Struthio camelus: one gene and its partner. The protein of the gene in region 2 interacts with the protein of the main gene of each other region in a pairwise test. Links are inferred from orthologs where the notes say so. Each region holds a gene or a part of one and is shown on either strand. Other genes may lie near its edges.

Region 1 (17,200 bases), on a different chromosome or scaffold from region 2:
AGTGGATTATAGCCATGCAGCTGTCATTAATTTCATCATGAGTTGTGTATCCAATTATTTCAGTCAAGTCTCAGACATATTCTACCCTAATTTATACTGCCTAGATAAAGAAATCAGCAGGGATTGTGCAAGCTATAAGCTGAAATGGAGTTAGTCACTTTGTTAGTTCAGTCTTAATTCCACTAAGGCTATTGTGAAATTTGATACTGAAGTTTTTGGGTGCAGAATTTGTCCCACTATCTTTTTAATATTTTTCCTCAATAAAGACATCTAAGTTAGGATCCTATTTGTTCTCAGACATGTACGTATTTTCCTAAGAAGTCACTCTAGAGCATAGTTTAGTGCTTAGAGTACACTTTTGTTTCTGTTTTTGTTCCCCTTTTGAAAATAACTTGTATAATACATCTTAACCTGTAAAAAATTGTTGATTGACCCTAGCTCTTCTAATTAAAAATATCAGTGAGGCTCTTTAAGGTGTAGCTAGCGCTTCTATTCCAACAAGTTAGTCACTCATCTAATACTAGCTGTAGAATGCATAGGTCTTCTGTTATCTCACACAGTAAAAGAAAGGAGGGAAAAATAAAGCATTAGACTTTAATAATGTCTTATTTGTAATCTAAAATGTGGAGATACTACTGCTCTTTGATTAGTAGCAGTTTAAAGTTAAGAGTGGATCACTCTCAGATCTGCACAGAATGCAAGTATAAGTAGGCTAGTGATAAAAGTGAATAAAGTATTCCACTGATGACTAGCTGCTCTCTCTTTAGAAGAGAGGACTGCAGCCTCATTTTATCTGTTGCCTTCTGCCAACTGGGTACACATAAAGGTAAGTTTTTGAACTCCATTCCAATCCATTTTATCTGGCACTGGCAAGAACTGCCAGTTTCAGAGCAGTGTGTAGTTCATATTAAGATTTTTCAGAATTACCAGGTAATTAATTATTTCAGCCCTTTATACGGAAATGCGCAGCTCCTTAAAATTAGGGGGTGTTGCTTGAGTGATCTGGTTTGGGCCTCCTGAGTTTTGCCTGAGAATCGTAGTGGAGAGTGCTGATGGAAAAAATGCCCAACTCAAAATAAATTCATACACTTTTAAGGGTTTTGTAGAGACTGAATCTTCAAGGCAAAGTTTTACATTAGCTTTAGTTAGGAATCTTGTCTCTGTGACACTGCAGCTTCTTCTTCATGTCAAATCACATGGAGTTTACACTCCACAGGGATTCAGCTTAATTTTACAATTGCCTACTCTGTAATACAACATCAGAGAGCTTCTTCAGGGACATGCACTAGTTTGAAAGGTAAACTTGAATTTTGGAGCTTGAATAAAAATCTGAGTTTGGCCAGGGTATGAGAAATAACGAGGGCTGGAGTTTCAGTTTGGATTTTATAGGAACAAGAAACATCAGAGTCTAGCCTGGTAAGTAGTGACACTTGATTAATATAGCAAATTGTGACATCAAGATAATTTGTCTTTGTCATTGCTAGATGAATGAAAATTGCATGGGAAAGTTCATCTTCCACATAAAGAAGTACGTTTCCATAGAGAAACTCATATCTAAGTACCACTGTTTGTAAATGTATACTAATGTGACAATGCTATTTAATAGCTAGTTTCCACTAACCGCTATAGCATGAGCTTGTTATGCCAGGGCCAAGGTATGCTTAAATGCCCATTTGAAGTTAATTAAATGATTCCCATTTACCTCAGTGGGAGTTGGATTGAGCAGTACAGAAAGTGAAGGAATGGGTCAAATCTGCTTTTTTTTGCCTATACATATAAAGAGGGACCAAAATCTTACCCTTGGTAACATGTGCTTCACCTGTTCTTTACTGTATTCAGCTATTCCTGCTGATGTCCAAGGTACTTTACAGATGTAACTGAAGTTAGAATTTGAGCCCTCTCTGTATTCACATGGCAGACACGCGTGTGTCTCTTAAAGAATGTAGTGTGAAACGCACTGTAAATAGTTTTAATATACACTTCTATTATAGTTTAATAAAAACCTTAATCACAGTCACTAGCCACTGAGTTTGTCCATTTGTATTCTTGTATCTTTTAAAAATATTTGAACAAATATATAGTTTCTGGGCACAGTATTTTTGTACTAGGTTGATGGGGTTACTTTGTATATTATGTTCTGCTTTTTAGCAGTATTAAAGTCTTCTGAATTTTATGATCTTGCTTGTTTCTGTCCCACAATTCTTTAGTAAAACTATTTACATTACTTACATGAGAATCATTTGTCCTCCTTACTGTACAGTTAACAGAGAACAGAGTTACGTTATTTTCTGTGGTCAAACTGTTGCTTAGTTACTTATTTTCTCATTCTCCTCTTTGTACTCTTTTCATGATTTGTAAAATAAAAAAGGACAATGTCAATTAAATTCAACTGTTTTTGTTAATTAATATTATTAAGGTTGACTCAATAATCAATTATTATCTGATAATCACATTATCAAATTCAACACTGCATTTTTCCTTGATTCAAATAAAGTATACATTTATAGAAGCAATTATTTACTGTATATATATACAACTTCTCTAGGTCCTAGAAATCCTGCTGAAAAGAACTTCACTATTAACATCAAGATACTCCTAACATGAGCACAGTCAGTGGTATGGGATCTTTTGTCGAAAACCGGTAAAAAAATAAAATAATTTACTCCTATTAACCACTAGGGAGCACTACAGCTACATTTATCTGGAACTGTCAGAAACCAAGCTATTTATTGCACAAGTAGAATTGGCAAATACAACTGTTATAAAGATGCTGCGTGAATAAAACTGGTCAACATCCATCCTCATCCTTTGCCCCCAAGTATCAATTTCTGGGGCAGTAGCATATGAGTTAGATTTAAAAAGTCAGCCCAGTGACTTCAAAAAAAAGTGAAAAACTTATTTTTGACAACAAAGCCACATCTTGCATAAACTGCTGATCTTAGAAGTGAATCCAGACCAGTGAGTTCTTGGCACTTCCTGTTCTTTGCTTGTTAGGTTCTCTGCAGCAACACTTCTGGCCTGATTTTTTTAGCTCTAGGCAAAACCAACAAGTATGTACATCCCTGACAAACAACAGTCCTATTCAAAAAGTTATGAAGGGCCAGATTTAGTCCAGCACAAAACACGAGCACTGTTTGCCCAAACCAGCTGCAATTTGTGAGTGCAACTGAACAACTGTCTATGTATATCTACATTTATCAGGTAACCATGTGCTGTTGGGACTACAAACTTTCCCACCTCACTTACCGGCCTAGGCATGCTCCTGCTTGCTTTTCACTGGACTACTAAATATTTGAATTCTTTTCTAGCACAGATTTACCAGAAGCGTTGGAATATGTTCCTTACCTGCTCCAGAAAATAATATAAGCTTGAAGTAAGGTGTTTTTCTTGAAAAAGTGAAAAAGAATATTACAGTATCTTTCACATCATGCAAACTACCATGAGTCTTTCACAAATGGAAAAGACAATGGCCCCTTCCTCCAGACATATTTTTAATAACAGTGGTAACAGCTCTTGCTAACATGCATTTCACATTCCTGTGAAATCTCACCCTTTAAGATTTTTAGGAAATAATTCAGATGTATGAGTTTGCTACAGTACCTCTAGAGCTTTAAGATCCTCAATGATCTATGCAGTCAGTCAGCCACTGAATTTTTCAGCTTTGAGAGGTAAGTAGCACTTCTCAGCTCTTACAGAACCACAACTTCAGAACTTCAATTTCAGTTGAAAGATATCACAGTTTATAAATATAGTAAATTTTCACTTCCATATTTTCCATTCAGAATATTTTAAAATACCTAGCTGCATGTTTTTCCCCTAATATTCCAAAGCTCTATTTTAAGATGGATTTTTTTCACATTTCTTGAGAGATCAAGCTGTTTTCCAAACAGCTGTATTATTTTCTGTTCTGAATTAGTACTATCAAGATAAAATCCTCTTTCCCACTGAAATAATTAATTCAGCCATAGTCTGCTCCTGCCCACCCAACAGTTCATAATATGTCTGTATTTTATCTTTACATGGGTTTCTTTTGTTCAACATCAAAGTCTGAAATACAGTGCTGTAGAAAAATATATTTTTAGTACACCAGAATGTGTACTATAGTGCATACATATAGTACACTAGAATACCTCCACGAACAAACAACGTTTAGTTGTCCAACACAAGATCTTTAAGAAAAAAACAGGGAGTAAAATACACGGTTAACTCATACCACTAGGTTATACAATACATTCACATACAGGGATTTCTTTGAACTCTTCTTTGTAGTAGTAAAGACACTGCTATGAATGATTTTATATCACAACAGCTTTTCATGGAACAGTAGTATAATCGTCATTTTACAGATAAATAGAGAGATTAATTTGATCAAGGTCACACAGAAAGCCTGTTTCTGAGCTGGAAGCAGAACCGAGATCTGGGTCCTAGTTCTGCTTTTACATAAGACGTGAAGAAAAGAATGTTTTGTGTTGAAGCCTTCTCTTCCTCTTAGATATATATATATAATTATCTGAACCATGTAAGGCTCTCTCCTCTATTTCCTGAACTCAGCAAAAATCACTATTTTACACATGGGATCAGATTAGACTCTAATCCAGATAATCACAATAACCTTTGGTGGAGTTTGGAGCTATATTGTAACAAAGAATATAGTGTATAATCAGGAAATAGCTATGCTGAAACAAACTGAAAGTCCAGTTCAAATTTTGGAGAACAAGAAAAGACAGATGCAGACTTCCAATACTGTACGTCAGCAGCTTCTTGGACTATAACGCAAATCCATCTTTGCTCACACCTCATTTCTAAACAAAAAGAAACTGCTTATATAAAATTTGCCTGCTACTAAGTACTATCTGCCTAGAAAACACAGGGAAAGAGCGGTGAGACTTGTATTTAAATACCTTGGTGACTAGATAAGCCTGATACGAAGCCCTATAGGACATATCAAACTATATGTGACAAGAGGCACTAATTCTCAGAGATTCATACAACCTTTGCTGGAAAAGCACACTGTATTTATGTTGGCAATGGGCCAATTTCACCCTCTCTTCATTGCAACTAGGCCAGGTTCAACTATTACAGGTAATTATAGGACTCATTTTAGGATGAACCAATGGATGAAGCAAATAACAGAGCTGGTATAGCTTTAAGAAACCCCTGCATTTTGCTTCTAGATTTTTTAACCTGGAGTTTATCGGCTCATGCTCTTCAGTTCTCTCCAATAATCAATGCTCATAGCAGCATTTTATGGATCACTACCTATACACACAAAATAAAAAGTGCATATACAGTCACATGAGCGTAAGCTTTAAGCTCCAGAGCAGACTACTAATCAATCAGACAAATGGATTCTAAACTCAGAGAAAATTTCCAAGCAATCTTCAAATATTGAACCTTCCTGTTGAACAGACTGCATTATCAACAGCAGCCAAGAGATTCTTCCTGAACCAGGGGAAAAAAAAAAAAAAAAAAGAACTTAGTAAACATGCAGCTGGGGTGGAACAAAAGCTACCTTGAGCATGATCTAATCCTGCTGCAATACAACATCCAATTGCTATAGGTACTTTGAAATTACCTATGCAAGAGATGGCATTAGTTAGACTAAACCGAGCTCCTTGTTTGTAGGCCACCTATACTGGAGTTGGCTTACTGATGCAAGACTATGCAGACACACCCTAAAGCAATGCATTATCTGCAGTGTTCTACTGAGTTACATGGACTTGATTTCAGATCTCATTTCCATTGTGTTTAGTACACTTCACAGTACACCTGCGAAATGTGCAAGTTGGCGTACATCTTAGGTACTTTAATTTTAAGTCATGAAATAAAACAGTGAGCCAACAGAAAGTAACAGGGGTATAAGAGGAATGGACTACTTTGGTAAAGCCTTAGGCCGAGAAAGAACTAACTGCCATATTGACATAAATCTGAGCATTGTCGTTTAAATGTATGGCAAAATTTGATGATAAGGGAACCAGATGCACTTAAATGTGCCCAAATGTCTTTGCAATCCATCCTAAGACACCTAGAAGAATCATCCAGTAGAACACATGCATAAGTGCTGCCAATTCAGTTCACAGCTCCCTGACAGAAACTAGTTAATCTGCACAGTTTTAACACGATTCACATATCTTGTAATATATGCAATTTATACAATAATATCTATATGATGTATATAATAATATCTATATGATGTATATAATAATATCTATATGATGTATATAATAATATCTATAATATGTTTATGCTGGCTCTGAGCCAATTATCATTCCATGAGTTCTACTGTCCTACCTAATTTTAGGCTAAACAACTTGAAGACAAGCTACAAACAATAAATGGGATAGAAGAATGTAACCCACTGCAAAAGCATTTTTGTCATCCTGATCTTTGAAATCTCATTGTCAATTACTTTTTGCAGTAGAGTCTCAAGTGATATGTTCTTGATTATCAGAGATTGGCATGACTATACAAGTTAATAATTTATATTCCTCCACCTCATACAGAGATCAAACTTCAAAGTTAAGATGTTTTGCAGCCTATTCCTAGTATTCTGAAACTGACAAGCTGAAGAATAAGCCACAAAGAAAGCCATTAAGCCAAAAATCACCACCTTCATGATTTTCATGCAACCAGCAATACTAGAAAACAGGTTTTCCAGTGCGTCATCTAAGCAAAAATGGTAGCTGTGAAAACTGTGTATGGAAAGGCTACAAAGAAAAAAGAGAAAGCTTGTGGAATATTCAAACATTAAAAATCTATAAAAACAATTTTAATCATAACTTTAGAAGCAGGGCTAACTGGAAAAACAGCTTTTATATGGAACTCAAAGAACTTCGAATACAGTGCATATAGTAAGATTTTTACATAGAAGAAAACTGAAGTCAGATTTTAGTAGGCTAATACTCCTATACAATTCATATAAACTGCGACAGAGGAAAAAATACAGCTGCTTGTTCTGTTGCTGACGTTACACCAGATCTCAGAGAAAGAACAGCTCTCTATCCTGCTAGTGCTACACTAATGCAGAGAACGTAATGTAATTGTAGAGATTATAAATGATTATGTAATTCATAATCATAATTATGAATGTAATTCATAAATACTGACTATCTGTGGAGATTCTGAACCACAGGAAGCTCCATCTGAACCTGAGAAAAAACTTCTTCACTGTGAGGGTGACAGAGCATTGGAACAGGTTGCCCAGAGAGGTGGTGGAGTCTCCTTCGCTGGAGATATTCAAAAGCCGTCTGGATGTGATCCTGGGCAATATGCTCTAGGTGACCCTGCTTGAACAGGGAGGTTGGACTAGATGATCTCCAGAGGTCCCTTCCAACCTAAACGATTCTGTGATTCTGTGATTCTTGCTTAACTGACAGACCTGTGGGGCTGATCTGAACAGGATCCCGAGGATTCATACTCAGTGAAAAGAAGTATGAGGAAAGGAAAACAGAAACGGAGCAACAAGCTGAAATGCAAAATTCAGCACCCAACCACTTGCTGCTCCCATGGTAAAGGAGTTTGAGTTGGCTAGTTAGCTACACTTCTGAGAGAGATCCAAGGACCACAAGGAGGGAGAGGCAAGTTGTGAGAAGAAAAGTCTACCTGATACGCACGAAAGTCCCAGTTAGTTATGAACCTTTATAGAAGACCCCCGTCCCCTTTTTTAATGTTCAGAAAAATTACTGTTTAAGTTTGATGCAGAAATTCATGCCTAAGCTGTGGGACACTACTACTCTTGAGTTATTTTTTCAGAGTTAAAGATGAAATGGATTTAAATCAAGGAGAATAATCAGTAACGTTAATTTTGTTTAAATATATAAATATTATGTTAGACATTATAACATTTCTTTAATCAAATGAATCAGTAGGTTCTTGGAGAGAATGTAGAACCCATTTACAAACCAGAAAATTCTCTTGAAATTCTCAAAATAAATGGTAATTTTCTGCCTATTTGTTAGATTTCATACACCCCTGCAATAATGGGAACTAAAGGGCTACTTCCATTATTCAAATATAGTATTTTCAAAGTAGCTGTCAGTTAAAAAAAAAAAAAAAACAGGATTGGCATTCTTTGCAAATAAAAGTACTGTACATTATAATATTATATAGCTAGAAGAATATGTATATATATATGTATATAGTATTTGAACTGCTGTACAGCCTCCCTTTTCTAGTGGATTCAACAAAAATGGTTCAAAAGTTGCACTACACCACTGACAGAAGGAACACTTCTGCAAAGATTACGAAGAAAGCAGAGTTGATAATTAACTGTTAATCAACAATAAGTTGCATGAACTATAGCCAGACACCAGATATTTTTATTTATGGATATATTACATATATATAAAATACACATGGACAATGATAACTACAAAAGGTCAAGGGATGCTCCAATGCAATAGAAGAGATAATCAGACTAAAAAGAAAAAAAAACTTCATTTTGCCCATTTTCTAAACTAGCTGAACAGTAAATACATACCCATGATTAGCACAGCACTCGACATAAGCTATGATGCCTTTTGAGACACTAAGTTCAGATTCAGCACCACGCTAATACAACTGTACATCTTCCATCTTACAGTTGGCTGATTTTTATCCCGTTCCGATTACAGGGCAAGTATGCTAGCAGGGACATATTTCCATAAATCAAATGTCTTGCCTATATCATAAACCGCTCCAGCTCAGAATGAGACGAAGTACTTCAGTTTTGTCCCACATACAAGACGACGATTACAGAATTCTAATATTTTAATTATAAAGACAATTTTTTTTTTTCTACCACAAATTATGCCTACTTCTTTGCAAAGATTATTTTGGAACATTTATGTAAGTCTAAGTGATTAAAAAAAAAATGCATGAAAATGTGGGAAGAAACTTCATGTAAAACTATGTAACAAGACCTACATGTTGGTGTTATACAGGTATGTAGGAACTTCCCTCACCACCTCCACTAAAGGAAGAGTAAACAGCCTGGAAGCCTTCCATCTGACAGGCTTTTTTATGCTGAAAGACCAGAACGTAAGAGGCAGAAGAAAAAGGAAAGAATATCTATCTAGTACAGGAAGAGTTTCAGACTGACTCTCCCTAGCCCTAGAGCGAAAAGGCATTTCTCAGACTGAAAGACTGCAACTTTGAGGGAGAGGAACTACAGTAACTTGGACTTTGGAAGATGGATGGATAAACTGCAGCCTAAAGAGAACATATGTCCACAACCCCAGTCCTTGTTGCTCGTGGGTAAAGCTTCCCACAGTGAAAAGGAACTCGGCTGTGCATCCCTGTTCTCTCCCAGCTGCATAGTTCACTAGGTTAGTGCTCCAGCACGTTCAACACTGCCCTTGACTGGGGGCTACTACTTTGCCCTCATAGGAACTGTTCATGTGGCCAGTGAGAGTCTTCATATTCTCCCCTTTTCCCTACACAGTTTAGGCAAAATCCCAGGTTAGAAAAGCAGATGGCTCACTTCAATTGAAATGGATTAAGGAACACTCATAAAAGCAGCTCCATCGGCAGATCCGAGAGAACCTCTGGCAGAGAGGCAAACTACTGCAGGGAGAAACTACTTGAACTGGTATAGCTCTGGTTGCAAAATGAGGTGTTCACAACTGCCACAGACTAGTTTGCACCAAATCCTATGTTTCAGGAGACCAAAGGGTCTGGGAAAAATTATTTCTGAGACACGGCCAGCTTATAGCACTCTGTTTTAGCTGCGAGCATGGAGCTTTTCCTCTTACCGCTTGTAAAAATAGGAATCAATACTCTAGCTTTCTTCTTTAAAAAACAAACAAACAGCAACAACAACAGGTGAGAGATACCTGTCAAGCTATTTTTCTTCTCCAGTCTGTTAGCTGGATTAGCACTGATCACAAGATGAAGCTGACTGAGTGAGAAGTCACACTATTCTGGTATCACTAGCAAAGTTCTAAATTCATAGTTACACTTCCAGTAAAAGCTCATCTTCTACGCTGGAATCCTAGATGTAATATATCATGAAAACAAGAGACACTGATAAAATTCAGTGGTGCAACCTACGATGTGCTACCAAGCAAAATCCAGCTTGGCATTTAGAGTCTACATTATTTTAAATCTAACAGAGAGCAAAGTTGGTGCCATGCACTCGAACAGTGTAAGTATGACCCCAAATTTGGTACAGACAGAAGCTGGCACAATAGATTAGCTCAGTTGCAAGTAGCATCATTTTGGGGGGAAGAAAGTGTATTCACAAAAGCTAAGTCAGGGTAGGCTCTTCCTCTGCATTATTCTTGAAGGAGATAAATCACGAACTTATGGAACTCAGCCACGTCAGATAAATTCACTTAGCTGCACATCTTTTTTTTGCTGCAGGAACGAGTATATGCACACCACATTCACCAAGCATGTTATGATATAGACAATTTGAAGAAATTACTTAGAATTTAAACTATATATTAAAGAGCGGGGATGAATACAGAAGATCATCACAATTTTCACAGCTCAGCACTAGACAAGAAGCACGTGAACAGTTCTCTGAAACAACCTGCACGCGCTCAGCAAATCCTCTGTCCTATGCTTATTACTTAAGAGTAGAATCAGTTTCTACAACAAATTGTAACAGACAAAGTAGAGATTTGTGTTCGGTTTGTTGAGTAAATATATTTTCTCCAGTAGTATAAAGACTCTCCCAGAGTATAAAGTTCTATACAATAAAGATACAGAAAATATCAATAAATTTTCTAAGTCAAATTATTGCCTTCACTGGGCAGCTGATTTTTTACTACAATTCATATATGGCAAGATGAATGTATTAGCCATGCTTTAAAAGAAAAAAGAATAAGAAAGATATTGTCATGATTTGCTGGCAAAAAAAGGAGAGATTCAGCGGGCAGGGTGGTTACAATCGGATATCTGATTAAACTACAGTAAACTTTACCTTGAAAAGATCAGCACACACTTGAGCTTTAGCCAGCCACATCATCCTGTAAATTGCTTTCAAGATAAGCTAGTTCATAAATTCTCCTAGCAAAGCTCCGGTACTGCAGGGAAGTCCTCCTTCAGACAAAAATATGGCATTTAATGGTACTTGGGAAATAGACAGAAATGAAAACTATGAAAAGTTCATGGAGGCAATGGGTAAGCCTTACTTTTCCAATCCTTTCTAAAAGGATAATACCACTATTACTGAACGTAAACTCTATCTGGCTATGAACTACCTTTTGGCTAGCCTGTCGATTTGCTGTCTGATGCTCTGCTTTTGTGTAGCGGCCCGTATTTATTTTCAAAATATTCAATTTTTTTCTCTCTAGGGAAAAAAATAAGCTATTGGGAAAAGTTCGGATTCCCCCTACCTTATGTTTATCTAAAGTAACTAACTCCAGCATTGGTGTTTCACATTTACATTTGGTATGGCAAGGCAGAGGGAGGAATCTCTCAGTCTAATTTGTCTTGGAAGGGTTCCAAGAAGTTGAATGATGATAACATTTAAGCAGAATTCTGCAGCAGGAATATTATTTTTGATGATACGCTATACGCTGGTTTAAAAATTACAAAGAAAGGAAATCACTAATCTTAACTTTCACAGAAAACAGGATTCAAGACATTTTAACACCTTAACGCTTACTTCAAACTTGTACCAAGCGAGTGTAATAGGGACACAAACATAACAGTTGTATAGTGTTTTGTGTCCAATCTGTACTGCTGAAAATAGCCTCAAGAAAAGGTGAAGAAAAAGAAAAATCTGGGCCTACGTACTGAGATAAGCTCACTTGCCCATACAGAAGCCACAGGAAAAGACATAAATATGATGCTCTGAAGTATTTTTCTAATTGATGTTAATTGATTTTTCTAGGTATCAATATAGTGAAAAGGAAGTTAGGAGCCCATGATAATCTGAAGATCGTTATTCAGCAAGACGGAAACAAATTTACTGTCAAAGAATCAAGTAACTTCCGTTCCATAGAAATTGAATTCACTCTTGGAGTCAGTTTTGAGTACAGTTTGGCTGATGGGACTGTATTAACTGTAAGAGACTTTGCCATATGATCATAACTTTATGAAGAACAGATTTAAGATGAATGATTTGTCTTTCTAGTTTTTAAATAAATTTAACTCCTAGGGTCTTTTAAGGTTTGACTACCCAGATATGTTTGCAGCATATATAGAAAAACATAAGTTAGTTTCAATTGTTAATGGAACGACATTTAAATATGAAGCTCAGGGCTAGATGCAGTGCTCAAAAAGCAGATTATCCAGCAGCTTTCACGTGCTGAAAGCCATGCCATTGCAATTATATTGCTTGTAAGACACAACCTAGAGCGAAGAGTGGGTATTTATAAGAAACTGCTTTTTTGGTATTGACATAATTCATTAAAATAACGTGTACTGAGCACTAAAAATAAAAAATCACTAGTTTGATTGACATGCAATTAAATAAATTAGACGTAGTTTCATTAAATATTCCATTTTTACAGCATTTCTGACAATGACAAAAAAAGGATCACATTGTTTCAATCTCTTCCTACTTGTAAACATTGATGCAGTCTTTGTGCAAAATCAGTGTCATCTTTATTTATTTATTTATTTATTTATTTGCCACCACAGGGCTCTTGGAACATAGAAGGAAATAAACTTGCAGGAACATTTACTAGAAAAGATAATGGCAAATCACTCCTGGCATTCAGAGAAATCATAGGTGATGAACTTGTTCAGGTGAGTTAAGCAATCACTTATGTGTAACTTAAAACCATAACGAACTGAAACATTTTCAAAGCTGTTCCAAAAAAGTAAATACTTTATTCATCCTAAATAACCTACCTTTAGTTAAAATTCTCACAGTAATCTATCAAAATTTAAAATTTTAAAATAAAATTGGCAACCCGTGATTTTTATGTTTTCCTACCAGCGTGAAATGGTGAAATGTATCTTACCAATGCATTCTGAACTCTGTGAACAGAGGCTGTCATACCATACACACGCACATTCTGACTGAAGGCCCTTTTCCAAGTGCCTGCCCTTTTAAAGTCTTACTATGGCAGCATCTATATACTACATTTAACAGTTGATATAGGACCTTTCAAGACAAACTTAGGTTTAGGTGTGGGTTTGGGGGAAGGGGAAGAAGGGAGTGCTTCACAGCTCTGTGGTAAAGCTAGAAACTAAACTCTAATGTTTTAAAATCCTCTCCGCTATTTCATCACAAGCTTAAAAAAATTCCACGAACAGATGTGAGATTTGAGATACCAAATCCACACAGTCTAACCCTTCAGCCTTTCTCCACAATTTTAATATAGGCAGCCACGTAGATGAGGCTTGTTAAATAACGGTGCTGGGAATATGGGGTTTGAACTTTTTTTTTTTCCCAAGCCCCTAAAAGTTTTCCAGTGACAACACAAATGTTTGTATAGAGAATTTATAACTATTGACAATAGGCTCCTTTTCTTAAGTTCCTTTCCTCAGAGCCCTTACAAGCAGTCTATAGAGCCCCAAAGTGCCACCTGTCCCAATTAACCAACCACTATTAACCATCTCTCAACAGAATCTGTGAAATAAATTTTTGTAATAGCAGTTACTGATTTTTCCCCTTAATTTTTTAACAGACCTATATATATGAAGGAGTTGAAGCCAAGAGAATCTTCAAAAGGGGCTAAATACTTCATCCAGAACAGGACCAGAAACAAAATCCGATGAAAAAATATTTTTTCTACTTATCCTCTGCTTCTTTTTCCTTTCACTCCCTCACAGCACAAAATTGTGATTACTTACCCCAAAGAAAGCATAGGCCAGTTCCTCACATTTAGTCTTTTGCCTTGATTACACAACATCAATTACACTTTGATCCAAGTACTGAAATGTTATTTTTACCAAGCCGTTCCTGTTTGAGTACCACATTCTCCCTGTATTGAATATTGTGTAATAAGGATTGTAAAATCTAAAAGAACCCTGAAAACACCCAAGTCTCCCAGACAACTATATATACAGACTATGAGTAAAAATATTGCAGGTACATTAAAAAGATAAAGAATGACTTCAGACTAAGTTGACTTCAAATACTGGTGCTTCTCACGAGTGAATAAATATGTATAATGTTCTGCTCATATTGTCCAGTCTGTACATGATGATTTTAATTCAGCCTCTCCCCCTTCAGCCGCACCATTTCCTAAGGGCTGAGGTAATAATAATTAATCTTTTGAGGGTCAGCATTACTTTAGGCCCACTGTGCCCCTGTAATCATGTGGTAATATAGTGCTGTCCCTATGTCTAGGGGGTAGCCTGCTTCCCAGCCCTGCACCCCTTCTGGAACACGTGTGGAACACACCTGCATGCTGCAAGAACTCTTGTTCTTCAGTAAATATTCCCCAATACTGTTTTCTTAGCTTCTGAGGATTTTGCATCCATGTTCCTACTGTCACAGTTAGGAATAAAAAAAAAAAAAAAAACACAAACCTGATTCATGTAAGAGCTTTGCTGAAAGGTGAAAAATATTGTGCGGCCCTGAGGACAGCCTTGAGGTTTAACCCAAAATATCAATGCAGCCTGATCTGTAAAGTCTCACAGCACTTCATCGCAGAATTCCCTGATGACAGCATGTGGCTAGATAATCTTCTGCCATGTGCTTATTTGTATGCTGTTACAGATCCCAATTTCAAATATCTTTTCTGAACAGGTATGTTTAAATTATGACTTTAATGGATTTTTTAAATATCTCACAAAATTTTTTCTATTATTTTCTTGGCTGTCTTTGACTGTCTTTTTCCTGGGCATAAACGACAAAAAAAGAAAAACAAAACATTTTTTTCCTTCAGTTATTGATGTTTCTCTAGCCTACACTTTTTTGGTTTTTAGAGTCTCATAGCTCCCTCTATTGGTAAAAGGCTCTCATGAATCAAAAAACGTTCAGGTTAGGATTGGCACATATCACCCTTCATTATAAGTTGTTTTTTTCCCCTCCAAATATTGGTTGAATGCAATTTCCTGTGTAGATACAATCTTCTTCAGTGGACAGATATACCACATCACAAAGAAGAAAAGATTACCTTACACAGTACCTCACTTCAATGAAGAGGCGTAAAATGGGGAAACAAATTATGAAAAGAAACCAAAAAATACTATATCTGAAACTATAGTACTACCAAATTCTGTGCATCTCTAGGTTGCTTTATTTAGATACTAAAGCCTTTGAAAGAGGAATAAGAAGAATAATAGCTTGCAATAAGCTCCATGGCAGCTTCTTTCACTAAGGCTATGCGCACAGAACAAGTAAACTAAACTGTAAGAGGCCCTAACCATTAAATTTCCATTACAGAGTTTGACCTTCATTATCAGCTGTATGTCATTATTGCTTCTAAATCGTAGAGAAATATATTAATGATTATGTCTCAAAGGTTTCAGGAAATTAGAGGAAGCTATTTTATTTCCTTAGACACTTTACTGGCTGGAAGGAAAGCTGTATTACGTTTCTGAATGTGTTCTCTATTTCTTCCCTGAGTATGCTGACTCTGTAACAGTCTCACACTCTCCTGGTTCAGAAAGCTAAACCCTACCGCATTCTTTGAATCATACTTATCTCTACCACATCTGCAGCATAACACATATTGTTTCATGGTTATTTTGATCTAGATTACTGGATCTATTTGACTGATTGGCTGCAATAAGAAGACATAATTAATAGGATTTTTTCTGTCAAACACTTGAGAAACTATTCTAGTAAGTTTTGGATTACATACAAGACCATGAACTGAAAAGTAATGTGATATAAAAAACCCAAAGATATGACCTGTAAAACATTTAACAACTCCAAATATTCCAGACAGGCAAGGTGAGCAGCTGTTTTGAATATACTTGAAAAATGAGAAAAAAAAACTCTAAAAACCTAATCTCTAATACTTGAGCTAGAATCAGCAATAAGTGTTGAGGGGAAAGGGTACAACTTTGGCAGTGGTAGACTTTGGCAAACCAACCAATAGGATCACTATATTAAAAAGTGAATGAGATAGTCTAGTAAATTTGACTAGGAGACTTATGTTTCCTATTGTTTTCAGAATTACATTACTTTGCAATCTAAGAGGAAATAATTTGCCTCGAGGAAACTGCAATCCGTAACTCCCTTTGCTCAAATGAGGCAGTAAAGATCACTAAAAGAAATACATTTGGGTATATGGGGGAAATATTAATAATATTCCTCAAAAACTCTGTAACGTACTTCATGTACTATGCATAGGCTTAACTGAAACTTTATATAGAAAGACAAATTAAAGTTCATACTGATTTGTAACAATCCTATTGACTGAAGGAAAATAGTTAGGCCTAAATGCATGCTTATGAGATGCTAAACTCTGACCAGATGCTTCTCACCCACTATCTACAGAAGTGCTGCTTTGTCTCCTAGTAGGATGAAACAAAGTGTTAACAGCTACAGTGAGGAACTCTTTATTTAGGACACAAAAATAATTATACTCCTTTCAATCCTGACTGAGCTGGTTGGACTAAGCATGCCACACCCATTCAGGCAAGGGTGATACATGAATTACTCTGTGGCTCTTTAGGGTGCAGAAGCTCCAGCGAACTTTCAAGCACAGGGGTATAGCTTTAAACTATTTTAAGTTCCCTATATATCTTTGCACAAACATTTCCTAGATGTTACCTCAGTTTTCTCAAGAGGATCATCTGCTCTCTAAGCAGCTGCATCAGGAAAAAGTCTTTGTAAACGTTTATTTCCTTAAAAATCCTAATACAGTTTCTTAACAAGGCCAACATGATTTAAATGGACTGACCAGCTGTCTTTCCCCATAGCCTTGTCTCACCTGGCCATGTGCCCAAGCAGTGGCAGGCAGCACTGGTGCCCAAGTACTACTACAGTAATGCCAGTCACCAGCTCAGTCAGGCTCACACAGTCCCCAAGAAGCCTCGGCTTCTTCTCAGCACTAGCAGCAGCAGCGGCCCTGCCTGTGTCTTTAGGGCATATCTTTACCACACGTTAGCCAAGCTCTGCCACAAAACTACCTGGGCCTGTCCTCGCCACCAGCTCCTCAGCGCACAGCCCGCCTACACGACACAGGGCGCGCTCCTTCGCGGCGGGAAGGCCACCCTCTGCCGCAGGTAACGAGGCCGCTCGCTCGACGCGGGCCTCCGCGGCAGGCTCGTGAGGAGAACCCAAAACCTCCGCCGCCACCGCCGCCGGTAACAACGGGGGCGGGGTCACGGCGGCGGCAGGCGGCCAGCACAACAGCGG
Region 2 (16,743 bases):
TTTTTGTTGTGTGGGTCCTTGTTTTTTTTTTTTTTTTTTCCCCTCCTTTTCTTATTACTCAGCTTGGCTTGATGCCTCTATAAACCTAAATGATCAGTATTTGGAAGAGGGGAGGAGGAGAACAGAATTAACTTGACCAACTATATATTAATATCTCTTGAAGATTTGGCTAAGGTGAAAAGCAGACTGCTGAAACATAGCACTCAGTGCAATGTAGTGATTAAAAATGAATTTCTTGATACCTGCAAACTGAGTTAGCCTGTGTGTTTGCATCTCTAGCATATAGACTGCTAGACTCTTTAAAATATAGTTTATATCCACTTGCTGAATAGCTGATAGAGTTAATAGCATCAGTACGTGTGCTTTCTAAAGAAATGGTACTAATTCACTAGTGTTATAAAAATGGACTTTTTAAATGTGATGACAGAGGCAACTTTTATTTCATATTAGATATATTTCTCTAGCACTTTGAGTCAGGTACATGAAGATGATTCTAACAACCAGTTGCTCCCACCTCCATGCGTGAGGGCTAACATTCCTGAATCTTTCTGCTCTGTATTATAAACACCTTTTTCCTTTTTATGACTGCTGATAGCTTCTTCTAGATAATGTTTCTTCCTCCAGTGCTTCCTTTTTTTGATGTCTTCTACTTGGGAAGAAAGGGAAAGACCTTTCTGTAACAAAGAACTTCCTCATCTCAATTATAAAGGATGCTCTAAAAGAAAGCCCATCCTCTCTTGCTTAAACTGCTGAAGGAATTTTGAATCGCGTGTCTGGGCCATTTCCACCTTCTCTTGTCTGCCCTGCCCTCCCAAATGTATTTCTCTCTCATAATTGTAATCATGACTGTAGTGGTGGTTAATGATGGCTGGAATTGCTAAAGAGCTGAGAAGGTAATGGAGGAATAGTCTTGCACAAATTGTTTCACGCTGCTACTGCTGCTTGCTTAGATATTTGACGCTGAAGATGGGAAGCCTCCTTTTTACCTAAATCTTAACATAGATGATACGCGCTCCCAAGGTGTTCAGCTTTAGTTTTTGTTGTCATTGTTTTTTTAAATTGCAACTTCTAGCCCCTTTAGGGCTAGTAAATAAGAAACCATAAGCCATAAAGCAGTCATGAAACCAACCGGATCTTAAATACAATATCTCTCCTATTAATAACTATCACAAGGCTATGAATTTTGATGTGAGCAGGAATCTTTTAAGGGGCACTCTTATTTATTCTTCAAGTAGATATGCTGATGCTGTGAGATCACCTTAGACTGCAGCCAGTTTAAAAAAAAAAAACAAAAAAACCCATAATCGCATCCTCTAGTCTCAATTACTTTGCTGCATTTGAGGACATGTTTTCTTAAAGACTGAAGTATTGTGCACATTACTATGCAATTAACTGCAAGATATAGAAAATTTCTATAAAATGGTTGCACACTTCATTATCTGTCTTTACAGAAAATACTGATAACGAGAACTAGAGACAGGTTGCTTCCTGTTGATGTTATTCTTTCTGGGTGCTCCAAGAAATTAAAGGGAGAGAAAGTAGGCTGAGGAATACAGAGCTTAGCTAGCTGCTGAAAGTGGCAATAGAAAAAGCGTATTTCCTTTTTCTTCCATAGTGCTTATGTATAAAGTTGCAAGCTGTGGTCTCCTGTAGTACAGTGATTTTACTAATGGCAGCAGATAATAATGAGGTAGGAAAGAAATAGAAAACACAGCATCATCTTTGAAAATGTTTGAAATGGATTTATTTTTAAAAAATCACTTTTTACAGTTGGATCATACAGTATTCTGTATGCCTTCAAAATTAAAAGCCTCTAGCTTTTAAAAATGCTGTCCAGTACAAAAGTGCTAATGTAAAACAATAGTGTTTATATATATATATATATAACCAGCGCTATAGATCACTAAAAACCACCGTGAGTAGTCTCTCCACCAGCGTCAATGAGTGGAGAAGAGATGGAAGATCAGACTTCTTGGTATTCAGGGGCTTCCTCCTTCCCCTTACAGTTCAGTCTTCAGGAGCTTCAGAGCTTTCTGCATGTTTGAGTACACTAGAAGTGCAATATTCATACAGGTTATTTTTGCTGCAACTTCCTCTGTCTCTGACTACAATTATGTTAGAGAAGTATCATTTTTATTATAAAAGTCTTTGCCCAAATCCCTATTGGTGTATTTATTCTGATGCACTATTCTGCAGCCTCTGCTGAGCGTTTTATGAACATCAGTCTGCTTAATTGCACCTGGGGAGAATGTGTTCCCTTAGTGCAAGTGCACAGTTATTCACAGGTCAGAGATGTGAGCTGTGCAGCACACACGATACTTGTGTGCTGAGGGTGGGCTATCACGTGTGACCCTTTACTGCCTCCAGAAAAGGTTTGCTGACTTGGGCTGCAGAGATTGTATGCAAGGGCGCTGGTGGTCTAACTCTTGGTTACAATGAGCAGTACTGAATTGTGCCAGTTCCTACTACCTATGTTTTCTTTCAAAGTAGAAGGATGTTCAAGGCTCCAGGGTTGTACCATCATTCTCTTCAGCACAGTGACCCTAAGTCTAGCATTCCTCTTAACTTCCTAAGATTTTAGTATTAGACTTCAGAAAGTTTAAGTCAGGCAGACCCGGTGACCTCCACTTGGACTAAATTAATCTAATTCAAATGTGAATACTGACACCGAATGAAACAATGTTGAGTATTACTATCGCTAGAAAGTGTGAGTCATGAAGTTACATTCTTCCCCAACCTGTCCATACCTTGCATTGGATGACTGTCTTTCAGTAACTATTGATTGCAGGTGTGTGTAATGTCTAGTGATATTCCTTATTGTGTGAAAAAATCTGACTGCTTTCAGGATATAGTACTTACACAAAGAAATACTTACACAAAGAAATATCAGAGGGCTCATATGCGTAGAGACGGTTTGAGTATCTTCCAGTAATATCTGCTCTCACAGTCAGGGAAGGATCTGGAAAAAGATGAGAAAAGTTGTAGAGGACAGGATTAACCTTCAAGCATAAGGAAATAAAGCTTTCTACACTTCTGCTTGCATCCTGAATGCTCCTGCAAGACAAATCTGCTAATCTCTTTAGGGTAGTGTTCTGCTTCCATTAATGGCCAACAGCACTTTGTTCCACAAAGTAACTGAAGTTTCAATTTTAAGTCTTCTGTGTGCAGACTTATCAAGGAGGGGATAGGTTTAATTCATATTATTGTTGATCAGCCTTAGACCCCGTGTCACTGCACGGTACGTTAATTAACTCTATAAGCTGAGACAGCTCCCAAGCTACAAATTTAAAAAAAAAAGAAAAAAAAAAAGCAGTTGCTTGAATCAACAGAAAATAATGATCTTCATCCAAGTCTTCTGAGAGGCTGAGGAACAGAAATGTGCATCATGACCTAGATTTATGAAGGTACGTGCTAATGGTATGCGTGTGTAGCATATAAGGCTACGTATCCCCTCTGGGAGAAGGAATATATGGATGCAGGCATGGCCACTAAGATGTCCAAAATGAAAAAGCTTATGAGACGTTAGTGCAAGTAAGCACAGAACTATGTATCTGGCTTTGAAAATCTAGCCTTTGAAACATGCTGGGTCACTGCTGTTTCCATTTTGCCCATGAGATTATGTGCCAAAATGAAACCTGTCTGCTTCATGATAATTCTAGAGATAGCATAATGAACAAGACTATCATTTCTGAAGAAAAAAATTTAATGAAATTATAGGGCGTTGAATTCTAGACCCGTGAACCTAATGTCATGGCTGGGGTTAGTTTGAATTTTAATTCAAGTTAAACAATGAAAGCTTCAAGGGCTAGAGCACAGTGCTCTCTCCTCTCTAGAGGTGCACTGAAGGCAGGTTGGGCAGTGGCGTACAGGTGAAGCAGGGCACTGCGTTCAAGGCAGTAGCCTGCCGAGAGGGGATGGGTTCAAGGTGAATGGGCTGTATCCTGCCCACACGGAGGTGGAGCTGTGATCAGCCTCCTCACCTCTGGCAGTGCACTGTTCCTTTTCCATCACTGCTCTATTTCTCTTTAGGGCTGTGCAAACCTTCTCCAAGAGGAGACTCTTGCTCAGCTAATTCTTTTTTTATTATTATTATTTTTATTATTCCTTTTTTTTTTTTATTTTTCTCATATGTGCAGCAAGACACAGCCAGAGATTCTATATTTCTCTTGGAATAAATTCCTGCTGATATGCCTGAGGACTTGAGACTCACGATGCAGCAAGGGCTTCAATCCAAGATCAGCATTAACGTTTAAGGTACTCACCTATGAACAAAATCCTAGGGACATACTGGCCATCGGGTGAAAGATTCTTGTCTGTTGTTTCATACTTAAAGAAAACAGATAAGGTTCTCATTCAAGATTGCAACAGTGTATGTTATAGAAATATTTAGTTAAATTTTAGTTAAAATTTAATATTATATTAAACTTCGAATTTCTTTGTATTTTAGGGTTATGATAGCTAGAGATAAGAGATTTATTACTAAATCTATCATGCTTCAGCACTGGCCATTTTTCCTAGGTATTAAACTGACTAAGCTATGGAAGCCATAATTAAAAATAGAAGTTTATTATTTTCAGTTAATGAAGGGTATCTGGGAAACTTACCACAAGGTTCAGGAGAATAAACTTATCAGCCAATTTCTGTATATCTTTATTTTCAGCAAAGACCTTCTTCAGTGCTATAGTGAAAGCAATGTGGAATAACAGTTAAAAACCAAAAAACCCCAAAATATACTTTAAATTTTGGCCTAAAAAAATCCCTTAGAACAACTGATAGATTCAAATATGGCTGCCTGGTAGCAGCCATACCATTACAGCAGATAAAGATTTTAACTTCATTCAGCTTCATTATTCTGTGATAAAGAGTAAGTATAATGGTATAGAATTTCCCCTTCCTTCAGCTGGTGTAGATCTCTAAAATTTTTCTGCTCAAATTTGAATTTGAGCATATGACTCTTTAAATCTAGTCTAATATTATAGCTTCAGGCTCCAATTCTGAAGGTGCTGACAATAATAGTGTGGAGGTGTAGGACCTCAGCCAGAAATGTCTCGAGAAATCTTAATGTTAACCAAGTTCCCTCTGGAGTTACTGGGGCTATTGATTAATGGAAAGGTCTTGCTGCATGGATCAGCTGGCAGGATGAGGGGCCCCCGGGTAAGTTCAGAAAAACAGAGAAAAGAGTAGTCCGAGCTACTAGAAATCCCCCAAGAACTCAGTTTCAGCCTTGTTTGATTTAGTCTCTGGTCAAATTCAGTCATGACCATCAATGACAGAGTTGAATACTTCCTTTTCTCTCCCTTTCCTGAAAATTTCTGCTGTTGTTACTCCTCATCTTGTGATGGGTTTCAACTGATTCTAAGGCAAACTAAAGACATACTTGTCACAGGTCAAAATCTGCTGATCTGTGCTCTTTCCTGCATTTATCAAGAGATGCAAGTATTGCATTAATACTGAGATACAGGTATTTTTGTGTGTGCAGAAATAAAATAAAAAAGGAATGTGATACTGATTTAAAAAATATTCTTCCTGCTTCTGTAAGTTAGTATTTCACTAAGGCTTACTGAGCAAGTGTGTTTGTGGTTTTTTTTTTTAAACACTGCATATTCTGAAGTCAAAAAGCAGCTGCTTTTCTGTGCAGAATGATTACCTTGACTGTGTGGGCAGTCATCCAAGTGGTGGATAATCATCAGGGGTTTATTGCTGAAAAAGGAATAGTCTTGTTAGGGGTTACTGGATGTGGAGACAGGTGCTGAGGGGTCCATAGGTCATGGGGGGCCCAGGTTGCAGGGCTGTGATACCTGGTCTTGGAGCGGAAGAGGGCTTCCTCATAGGTTTGTGTCCAGATAAGCTGGTCTCCCCAGCCTGCGATGGGGAAAGGGCAGGTCAGAACGGTTAATGAAGCAGAAACTGAATTATTAGAACAACTATAGGAATTAAAACTGTAGCAGGTTGCACTTTTTTAAATACTTTTTTATTACCTCTAGAGAGTGTCTGAGGCAGTTTTGGCTTAGTCTCCTTAGTTTCCTTTGCCTCCTTTGTCTCCTTGGTCTCCTTCTTGGGTGCATCCTTAGCCAGAGCACAAGACAGGGCAACAAGCAGCAGGAACACCGACATATAGCTCTTCTCCATGGCTTCTCCTAGGAAAGAGAAACTTGAAATTGCTTTGCTTCCCAAACTGCTGCTTGTGCAGAGGTGCAGGGCAGGTGAGCAGTGCTCAAGTGAGAGCTCAAATCACAAATATGTGGCAGGGTGAGTCACTGCTGAAATTAATTGTGCTGGTGGGAACAGAGAGGAAGGGTGAGGTTTGCTTAGCAAATCATCACAAAGAAATCAGTCACTTTCTACAGCTCCATGCATCCCATTGGGCTGTAGTCCTCTTAGACACTCACTTTGGTGCTAGTTTCTCTCTGTGTCTCTCCTTTTTACAAATATTGAATTTGCTCAGTAAAACAACAAAATTCTGGCAATTTCTACAAGAATCCAAAAGGACTACATGCAGAGTTGTATCTAGATCTCTCAATATTATAGTAACCAAGCACTCCAGCAGCTGAAATTTTTCAGCAGATGCTGAAAAATTAACTTTTCTAGGCTATTCCTCTATGTTGCAGCTACAGCAACTCCTGTGAGAAGTAAATCATAAGCTAGGTTTTATAATGAGTCATTGGCATGGATGCAGCTTAATCTTGTGGTTGAAACTTCAGAGCATGCCTTCCCCCTTAAAACTCTTATCTAGTCCTTAAAGACAAGAAGTAATCAGTGGAACAGTGAAAATTGAAATGCAATCTGCGAGCTGAAGCAAGGCAGAGAGCAGATGGCTCTTCCTGAGCCTGACACTGGGATTTGGGGATGGAGGTGAGGCGTGTCTGATGGGAAGCTCCTCAGTGGTCCAACTGGGATGCTTCTTCAAACCAGGGGAGGGAGGAGGCACATGACAGTGATATGACCCTATTTTTTCTCATTAAATTTATTCTTGAAAACTAGAGTACTAGTTTAACAGATACCAGTTTGATAGAAAGACCTAAGATACTCCAAAAGTGATATAGAAAATTCAGAACATTTGTGCAAAAACTACAGCAGGCCGGAAACTTTTAAAATTCAGGTAATGAATGAAAGTCCAGGGAAATAAATGCATTCCTCTAGGTTTTGGTAGGAACTGCTGGAGGAGGCTTAAGCTGAATTTGAATCAGTGTTACAGTGCTTTTTGCTATTGGGATGTTCAGTAGACCTTCAACATCCAGGGAGTCATTGTTTCAGAAACACGAAATAAGATTTTACAACAGACTGCTTTTTTGCCCTGAGAAAAGTATCCTTTGCAAGGAAGAAAACTGCATAAAGTTAAATTAAACCTGGTGTATTTTCAGTGCTGTCTAGAGAGCTGTTTTAGCTAGATCTGTATTGAGGAAGTAATACTAAAAAAAAAAAAAAAATTTGCTAACCAGGAAACCAAAGACAGAGAATCATTAAACCTGCTCTTTAAAACTTCACCTCTGCAAAGCTATGTGCACTTTTTCTACATTCTCCACTCCCCAAAAAACCCTCCCTTCCTGATTATTTCTAACCTGAAAAGACAACATTTCCCTATACATTTTCTTTATAGCAAACTGTACTGAACTGTCCCCAAGTTGCTGCAGTCTTTTTTTTTTCCATTGATTAGCCTACCTCAGCTCTAGGTAACCTGAGCCCAGAATTCACAGGTTTTAACAGGTTCTTTCCAAAGAAATGTTTATTGCCTTACCTTGTTTGCTCTCCCGGCTGCCTGCCCAGGTGAGAAGGTGTCCGGAGTTACAGTGTGACCGCTACTGCTCCTACTGCCTATTTATGCACCTTCACACACCTCAGCTCCACCTACAAGCTCTGGATTTGAATATTACTACCAAAGAGCTAAATCTTCCAATTTCCTCCCCACTAAAATACTCTCGGTTAATTTTGTAATCAAATAACATTAACATTTCCTGTCAAACACCATATATATAAAGCTCAGAGATGCTTCTGTAGTCTTTTAGAACATTTTTAACAGGTGATTTTTAAAATACTGGCAAAGATCCAAGTCCAGGTAAGCTTAAATCCAAACTCCTGATTTGCCTGAAGAGTGATTTGTCTTTTTTTGATTGGTTGGGAATAGAACCTGGTCACTATTCTTTTAGTCCTCTGAAAAAGTTAGATGATGACTCAGACTTTAGCTGTTAATTATCTAATTAACTGTGTGAATTATACAGATATATATGTACACATGCACATATAATACTACATAGCAAAATTTCAAATGAAATCTAACAGCAAGTTTATAAAGATCTTCGCTAAAAAAATACTTAGAAGCCATAAAAATATACTGCATTCATAAGCTGAGGTCTAAATAAATATTGTATTCAGATTTCATGTTTAATTAATTCTGTAGATGCTTACTTTAATGACAACATGAAAACCTATCACTTCAGGTTTCAGATACATGTAGTACAGTGCAACACTCGGGAAAACTGTAGACCATTTTGCCTTACTAGAAGGCCATCCCTAGCATTTGCACCTCCTGCAGATGGTACTTTTTAAGAGATGGCGGCAATCCTGTCCTAGGTGATATATGTTGAAGCTAAAGTAGGTTCTCCTTGGTGCATGCCTCATATATTTTAGTGAGACTAAAATAACATCTTCGTAAGCAGTGAGCACTTAACATTGCTCAACTGGGTAGATGAAATCAATCAGATATGGATTTTTCTGTTTGAAATTCCTTGTGTTTTCTGATAGCTGCTAACGACGTACATTTTTCTGTATATATTTCAGAGAAAATGGTGCTTTGGATCACTCTTTTTTTAACCTTTTGTAAACACTAATTAGGAAGATTCAGATATGTATTTCGTCAGCTACTATATTGTGTATCCAAATCACTTCTACTCTAAAACAGGATTTTTTTTTTTTTTCCAAAAGTTATACCAAAATAAGTTCCCTAAGTGCATATGTGGAACAGCTCTTGCTTTGGACAATCAGGTTGTCTCATTAATCCACCTCAGTGTTGATTTAGGAGTCAAACAATTAGGTACCCGCTTCTGAAATCTTTGTTTTAGGCAATTCTAAATTGTAATTCAATGTATTCTTGCTGATTGTCTTCTCAGGTTGCACCTAATAGCATATATTTGGTAATTTTAAAGCCTGTAACAGCAATTCTAGTTGCTTTCAAGTTATATGAGGAGATAATGAATGGGTAGGCTCCCATTCACACACTTCTTTTTTTTTTTTTTTTAAGCAAACTTGTCTAAAAATGCATTCTAAAAACTCAGCCCCCATTCACTCTTTGGCACCTGCCTTAGATATATTCCCATTAAATTTGTACTCTTACTTTCTCCTGTTTTAAGGAGATACGTTTACCTTAGCCTATTTCCATATAGCTTTGTGATGCTCTTTAAGAATTATTTTCCATCAGAAACTTAAAAATAAAAACGTAGCTACTGACAGGGACTTTCTTGTCACCTCTGACCCAGTGATCTCAAAGGAACTAGTTGCAAGTGTCTGTAAACCAGCCCTGCCCTTTGTGAATGGAGAGGGGAGCTCAGCCTTTCCTAAAGTTCCCAGCTAGGGTCCTGAAGCCAGCCCCAGCCTCCGACTTCGCTTTAGGCTGTTTATCAGAGACTTTCTCTGCCTCAGTAACTAGGTCCTGCAGGAACTGCCCCAGGATAGCTTGGAACAAAGTGGAACTATCCCAGAAGGTTTTTCCTCTCTTGCTGTAAAGATTTGATATACCCCATTACAGTTAATATTTAACATCTTTACAAAACTAGACATTTGCTTTTTTTTCTTCTGATTTTCATTTCTCTGTTCTGATGGTACCTTCATTCTGATGGTGACCAATATTGTAGCCATTTTCCTGCAGTGTTCAACGTGTACAGGTAAATACCTGCGATACATCTGATGACTTATCTTGAAGGATGACAATTTCCCAAAACGTGTCAGCCTAACACTTTCTCCTTTTCTGTTGAATGAATGCCTCTATTAACTTGAAGTACCTACAGTTTATTGGTAATATATTTCAAATTGGATAGCAGAAGAGATGTTAAGATTTAAGATATTTATAAGTATCTGACCTTTTGATGACTGGTTCTAAAGAAAATATACCAATTCATCAGAATTCTGATATCTCTGAAAGCGTTGTTTCCAATTGCATATGCATGCATATAATTCAAATCACCATCAGTTGATAAAAATTGACAGGCTGAAATGCAAGCATGAAACGTCCTTTAAATAGTCTCAGATAAAGGCTGGAGTTTGTCATGTAACCACTTCTTATGTTATGCTCCATTTTGTGTTGTGAAGTACTGGGATGTGCTGGAAGGAATTGCTGAATGATGTATTTCCACATCAGCAAGTCATTTGAACACCCATAGTAAATGTACCTGTGCTTGTATAGTTTAATGCACTTTTTCACGATGGAAGCTATCATGATTTACTGCATCAAGGAGTGTCAAGGTTTTCAGCATACGTGGGACTAAGCTTGTGTTCAGTAAGAGAAAGCCTGATCCTGACAACTATTAGAGTTAATTTTCAGATGTTTCACTCGGTCCCACAGAGAGACACCAAATGAATGAAGAGGCCCACTTTCTGTTTAGAAACTGTGGATAGATCGCAGCCTTTGAAGAAGACTTACCTAGTTGCCTTAACTGAGCAAGTTGTGATTGGGAAGGCTTCATGGATGAAATTCTTGCACTTAATTTTATGTAAATGCATTTTAGTTAATAAAATAAGTAGCTTTATTTAAAAGCAGAAAATTTTCTGTACCCAGGAATTAGAGTAAATGACTCCTCGCCTATCTGAGCATATTGATATGCAGTTTTTAATATTGCTTAAAGTCTGTAAGCCAATGGTTTCCTATTTTTACTGTACTGTAATATGAAGGCGGATGAATCTAACTTAATTGTAAAACTTGCATCCCCTGGTTCTGAGATGATGGCTTTCTGTTACGGACAAGTAGCTAAGCTACAGTGTTGGTAATTCTAGTGAGTCTCCTGGACCTGCCTCAGCTTACTGTGATCTTTATTTGTGCCTTATTGTCTTCATTTTTGTTATTTTGGATTTGTTTGGTTAACCTTTGCCAAGGACCTCTCAATTTTCCTAATGTGCTACCTCAAAGATCAGAAGATCTTGACTTCTAGTGAATATCAGTGCCCTATATTTTTCTCTGAAACATGCTAGGTGCCAAACTTTGTCCACAACATAATCTCGGGAAAGAAACAATATCTCCTGCAACTGATAGAACTGTGCACCATTATGTGCTCTGCTTCTCTAAAGATGCCTGACAAGAGGCCACTGACCAACTATGGAAAAAAAAAATAGATGATGTCAACTCTGACTCCCAGAATTAGTCCCTGAGTAATACAGGCGAGTATTCTTTTTATTCATAATATCTTACCTGGGCTATTTACACAAATAAACGGTTCCGTCCTGGTTTTTTCACAATGGCAAGTAAATATATTTAAAGTACTCTAGGAGCACTATGACTCAAATTCCAACAGAACCCACTAATGCGCCTCCTTTTTTGGCCCCAATGTTAAGGCAAGAGCATCACTCTTGCTTGTGCACTAATTTCACACTGTAAATGTTGCTTTTGGTTTCAGGCCAGTATCATAATCGCCATTACCTCTGCAATGAAGCTCATTTGTTCTGTAGATTTCCTCTTTGTTACCTGTGCTGTTGGTCTTTTCTCCAAGCACCATGGTCTCTGGTAATGTTGGCACCTTCCGGCCAGCTTCTGTCTTTAGGGTCTTGGCCACAAAAATTGTAAAGTTGACCCCAGATCAGTTGGAGGCTCCTGTATGTTTTCACCTTCTTTCTTTTCCCCCTTTTTGAGAGATTTCTCACTATTTTTTTCTTCAGACTGAAACACACTTTAAGTTTCTGTAATAATTTCATAAATGGCCTCCTCTACTAAAATGTAAGAAGCTGAAGGGTCTGAGCTTGTTCAGTTTGACAAAGAGAGGGCTAAGGGGTAATCTATTAGCAGCCTGCAACTACTTGAAGGGGAGCTACAAAGATGATAGATTCAGACTCTTCTTGATAGTAGCAGCAGATGATGAAACAAAGTGTGAGGGCCATAAGCTGTGGCTTGGGAGGTTTGTGGTGGACATCAGGAAAATCATCTTCATGAGAGTGGTAGCACAGTACTGGCACAGAATGCCCAGGGAGGCAGGAGAACCTCTGTTTTCAGATGTTTCCGAGAGTTGACTTGACAAAGTTTTAAATCGTGTCGTTATTCAGTGATCATTCACAGGGATGGGGTTCCAAAGAGTACCTTTGCTCTGTGTCTGACTTCTGTTTTACGCTGTTTAACATGAGCTTTGGAATAGCACAGTAACCTGTTCCAGCTGGTTCATGCTATGAGGTACACTTCCCAATGCAGATTGTTGAATGTGCTTCTGAAGGCTTCTCACTACAATTCTTGTCTGCAAATACTGGTATAGTATACTGTTTACATATATATGTATATATATAGTATACATTCTATATAGCGTAGTATACTGTACTAATAGTATACTTTCCCTTGTTAAACAATATCTTAGTAACATATTAGAGACCACTGGCTTAGCTTCTCACTGAGATAAGTGATTCTATTCCAGATTGCCTCAAACGTCACAATTTCTGTAGTTTTTTACTTCCAGATAACCTAAAGTGCACGCTGCACTGATATACGGTCTCTAAACGTAATGCCTAATTTGCCTATACAACAGCAATGTTAGGAACATAGGCCTAAAATGATCTTAACCAAGGTTACCCTTAAAAATCACTGTAGAGCTTCAAATCTTGACATAGTCATAAGTCTCAGGATTCTGGGAGAGGATCTCTCTCTTTTTGCATTCTGTGGTTGTGTGAGCATAAAGTTTTGCTCGCTTTTCAGTGTTGCTCCTGCAACAATCTCCTAGCACGCTGTACCTATTCCCTGTGATAAGTTTCTTGCTAAAGTATCTGTTTATCTAGAATGCTGGCATAGGAGCAGAACCAATGACAGTGGCTTTCCAAAGATCATCCTTCCTGTAGGAACTATTTCCTCAGTCGAGGAATGCATCACAATATAGTGACCTTGGATGAGAGTATATCTCCCATAACATCCCCACAGACAAACCAATGAAGTATGGATGAGGGAGGTGGACAGGGAGGAGAAGCATGTAGTCCAGCTGGAGGCTAGTCCCTAGTGGCATACCTCAGAGGGTGATTTAATGTCTTTATTAATGAATGGAAAGAGTGTACCCTCAAAAAGTTTGCTGATGGTGCCATCAGGGAGCAGGGATGGCTGGCTGCTCTGCAAGGCAAGGTGAGCAGGGAGCAGAGCATGGGGGCAGTGACTTCACCAGCAAGAAATTGGGATGCAGAGCGGCAAGTCAGGGTCGGACACAATCCACTGCTTGCCCAGCAAGTCTGTAGTGATGAGGCAGGTCTGAGTTCAAGCCAGGAAGCTGAACCTGTGGGTATGGATCATAGTGAGACTTTCAGAGGTAGAAGACCAGGTGCAGACAGAGCTGCTGCACAGCTGCAGTGTAGCACAGGCAGGAGTCAGCAGTAAAGCCTCTGCTTAAAAGCAGCTCCTAACAGCAAGGGGTGGCAGGCCTCACTTCCTTCACAACAGCTCTTACCAGCCAATGAAACTGTTCAATTTAGCCACCTAAACTCCTAGAAGGGGGATTTGCTTCAGGCCCTAACAAATACAAAACTGTGAGGAGTGGCTGATACACCAGATGGTTGTGCTGCCATTCAGAGGGTCCTCAACAGGCTGGAGAACTTGGCAGAGCAGAACCTCATGAAGTTCAACAAAGGAAAATGCAAAGTCCTGCACCTGGGCTTGAATAACCCCAGACATCAGTACAGGCTGGGGTCTGAGTGGCTGGAAAGCAGCTTTGCAGAGGAGGATGTGGGGGTCCTGGTGGACAAGTTGAGTATGAGCTAGTAATATAACCTTGTGGCAAAGATCAGCAGACTCCTGGGCTGCATTAGGCAGAGTGTTGCCAGTAGGTTGATGGAGGTGATCCTTTCCATCTCCTCAGCACTGGTGAGGCACATCTGGAGTGCTATGGCCAGTGCTGGGTTCCACCATATAAGAGATGCATGAATCTAGTGAAGGGCTGTGAAGAAGACTGAGGGCTGGAGCATCTGTCATAGCAGAAGAGGCCGAGAGAGCTAGGATTGTTCAGCCTAGGAAAGAGAAGGCTCAGGGCAATCTTCTCATTGATACTTTACTCCTGATGGGGGAGCAAAGAAAACAGAGTCAGACTGTTCTCAGGGGTGGCCAATGAAAGAATGAGAAGCAACAGGCACAAAATGAAATACAGGAAATTCTATTTAAACATAAGAAAAGCTTTTCCTGTGGTCAGGGTGGTCGAACACAGGAGCAGGTTTTTCAGAGAGGTTGTGGAGTCTCCATCCTTGGAGGCAGTCAAAGCCTGACTGGACACAGTCTCGAGTAACCTGCTGTCACTGACCTTGTTTGATTAGACTATCTCCAGAGGTCCCTCCCAACCTCAACTATTGTGTGATTCTGTGTATGTAGCACATAAGAAGGAAAGATTAAGTAGTATAAAGGTGAACTTAAATTGGACCTAGACATATTGCACCCTTAGCTGCAGCTGACCTACGGCCATATAAAAGCTAAATTAATAGAAAAATGCCATACCATGTTTACAGATTGGGATATTATAGCTGGAATAGAATGCTTATTATCTTCTGCCCATGAGATGCTCAGGTTTCACCAGTGTGTGGGTCACCCCACTGTACAAATACAGTTGTAATATCCCTACCAGAATAGTTAGCTGGCTGATTAGTCAATTAGAATGACATAAGGACACGTGTACTAAAGTCTTGTTAAAAATTATGGCCTGGAAACAGCAAGCACGCTCTGTCAGGTGGTGACACTAAATAAGCAATATCAGTCACAGAGAACTGATAGGAGAATGGGTGTTACTGCTCTCATGCTGGCCAAATTCCAGTTTGTGTCACTACAATAACGACGTTCCATCTTTACATTCAGATGCAGTGAAAACTTTCTTTCTGCTCCTTTAAAACTGCATTTTTTGTAGCTGGCATAAGAAACACAATTCTAAATCTTGTGAATTACTTACCTTATGGTGATCCAAGGGCTGAGATATGTTTGAACTGTGCTTAGCCTAGCTACACAGAAGTTGGGACCAAAGCCCTCAGGTCCGGAGAACAGCCAACACTTGTTTTTTCTCCCTCCTATGGGGTCATTCCAGCAGCTGAGAATGGCTGAAATAGTAGAGAGCTTAGGCAACGCGGTCTTTTGCATCCAGCTGCTGCACTGTATCCACCTCTACCATTCAGAGATATTTTGGGGCACAGGAAATTCACAGATAGTCGGATCACTGCTGCATGCCCATAAAATTGGGTCAGAAAGATGGAGATTTGAGAGCAATGTGAAAGAAGAGCACTTAAAATCTCATGAAGAGTCATATATACCTAAAATTACCCATACTAGAATTGTTATGTGAATGATCTGTTGGGAGCCGCTTATCTTTTAACGCATCTAACAGAAGAAGATGAAATAAGATGTTATTTCTTGTTTTCTGGTGAAAGATATGTAGTTAGCATACTTGGATTAGTTAAGTTTTTGGAGCTGAATGCATGGACTCTTTATGAACTCTGGCAGGCTGAGGTTTTGGCTCCTGTATTCCTGTTTCATGTAGTGCAGCTGCTTAGAGTGCAGAGGTGAGCAGGCAGCTGATGCCGCCAGCTATGTTCAGCAGGTGTTACTTGGGAGAAGTAACCATGAGGCCAATCAGTAGCACCTGCCTGCTTTCTAGAGTGGGTGAGGGTGTGGGGGATATCAGCAGCACAGTAGGAAGGAGGAAAATGTCCATGCATGTTTAGTCTTTGCTTAGCATGCGTGGAGCTCTGGTGGGGCAGTGTTTAGTACTTTGCTGCGTTGGCTTAACAGCACTGAGAACTGAGTTGCTAACTCAATACAGGGTGCTGCTCGCTTCACTAACTGTAAGTTTTAAATGTAAAATATCTTGCTGAAAATGAAAAACCCAAACAAACAGAAGATAATGAATAACTGAGTAAGGTACTTGATGTCAGGTTCCTGGAGCGAAACAAAAAATCTAGGCTATTAATCGTGCATTACTGACGAGCAATGAATGCCACATGCTTCAGCCAACAGAGTACTGGCGTGGCAGCCAGTAATGGACCTTTTGTTGTTTCTTCTCCCACTACAGTGTCTATGTGCATTAGTTATCTCATCTGTAAACTGAAAATCATGAAAATTCCTATCATCAAGTTTATGTGATGGCAGTAGCTTTTACCTGAGAACCGGCAAACAGTCTGGAGGCTGCACAGTCGGTCCTTGCTCTCCATATTTTCTATTTAAGAACCTGGAGGGAAGAGGCAGAGTTGTCATCTAAAAGCTCCAAATGATTTGCAGCTTTAGACAAGCTTGATGTGGGCGCTTGAGTGTTGTGAATATTCTTGTGCCTTCGTACGTGAGAAGCCACGGTTTGCCACTGGGAATCATGACTTCTGACATGACCTGCTGTAAAATTTTCCTCTTTTCTCCTGTCCTCCTTTGGCAGTGGGTTGAATTAATGATACCTTCCATATTGTTTTATTAAAGGTGTTCATTACACTCTCATTTCTTCTTTCTGTAGACCAATAAGGTTATAACACCTGTATTTCCCTGCAAACTTCCTGGTTGATGTGTGAGGTAAGTCAGCATGTAGTATGTTTGATCTTTTGTCTTATGCAGGTGTGATGAAGAACGGT

The links.
Region 1: the proteins of AGR2 (region 2) and FABP2 interact in binary tests that used the Homo sapiens proteins (3 or more experiments, as listed by UniProt). The two-hybrid records come from large-scale screens. The link is inferred for Struthio camelus from reciprocal best matches to the Homo sapiens genes AGR2 and FABP2.

The regions. Positions count from the first base shown.
Region 1 is NC_090945.1:20,526,125-20,543,324, forward strand, and holds FABP2 (fatty acid-binding protein, intestinal), read left to right. Parts: upstream 1-11,001; 5' UTR 11,002-11,039; coding exon 11,040-11,106; intron 11,107-11,821; coding exon 11,822-11,994; intron 11,995-12,573; coding exon 12,574-12,681; intron 12,682-13,568; coding exon 13,569-13,619; 3' UTR 13,620-14,698; downstream 14,699-17,200. UniProt on the Homo sapiens protein: FABPs are thought to play a role in the intracellular transport of long-chain fatty acids and their acyl-CoA esters. FABP2 is probably involved in triglyceride-rich lipoprotein synthesis.
Region 2 is NC_090943.1:34,168,809-34,185,551, forward strand, and holds AGR2 (anterior gradient protein 2 homolog), read right to left. Parts: upstream 7,816-16,743; 5' UTR 7,736-7,815; intron 6,138-7,735; 5' UTR 6,130-6,137; coding exon 5,979-6,129; intron 5,863-5,978; coding exon 5,799-5,862; intron 5,701-5,798; coding exon 5,648-5,700; intron 4,679-5,647; coding exon 4,605-4,678; intron 4,327-4,604; coding exon 4,263-4,326; intron 2,960-4,262; coding exon 2,876-2,959; intron 2,051-2,875; coding exon 2,001-2,050; 3' UTR 1,719-2,000; downstream 1-1,718. UniProt on the Homo sapiens protein: Required for MUC2 post-transcriptional synthesis and secretion. May play a role in the production of mucus by intestinal cells. Proto-oncogene that may play a role in cell migration, cell differentiation and cell growth. Promotes cell adhesion.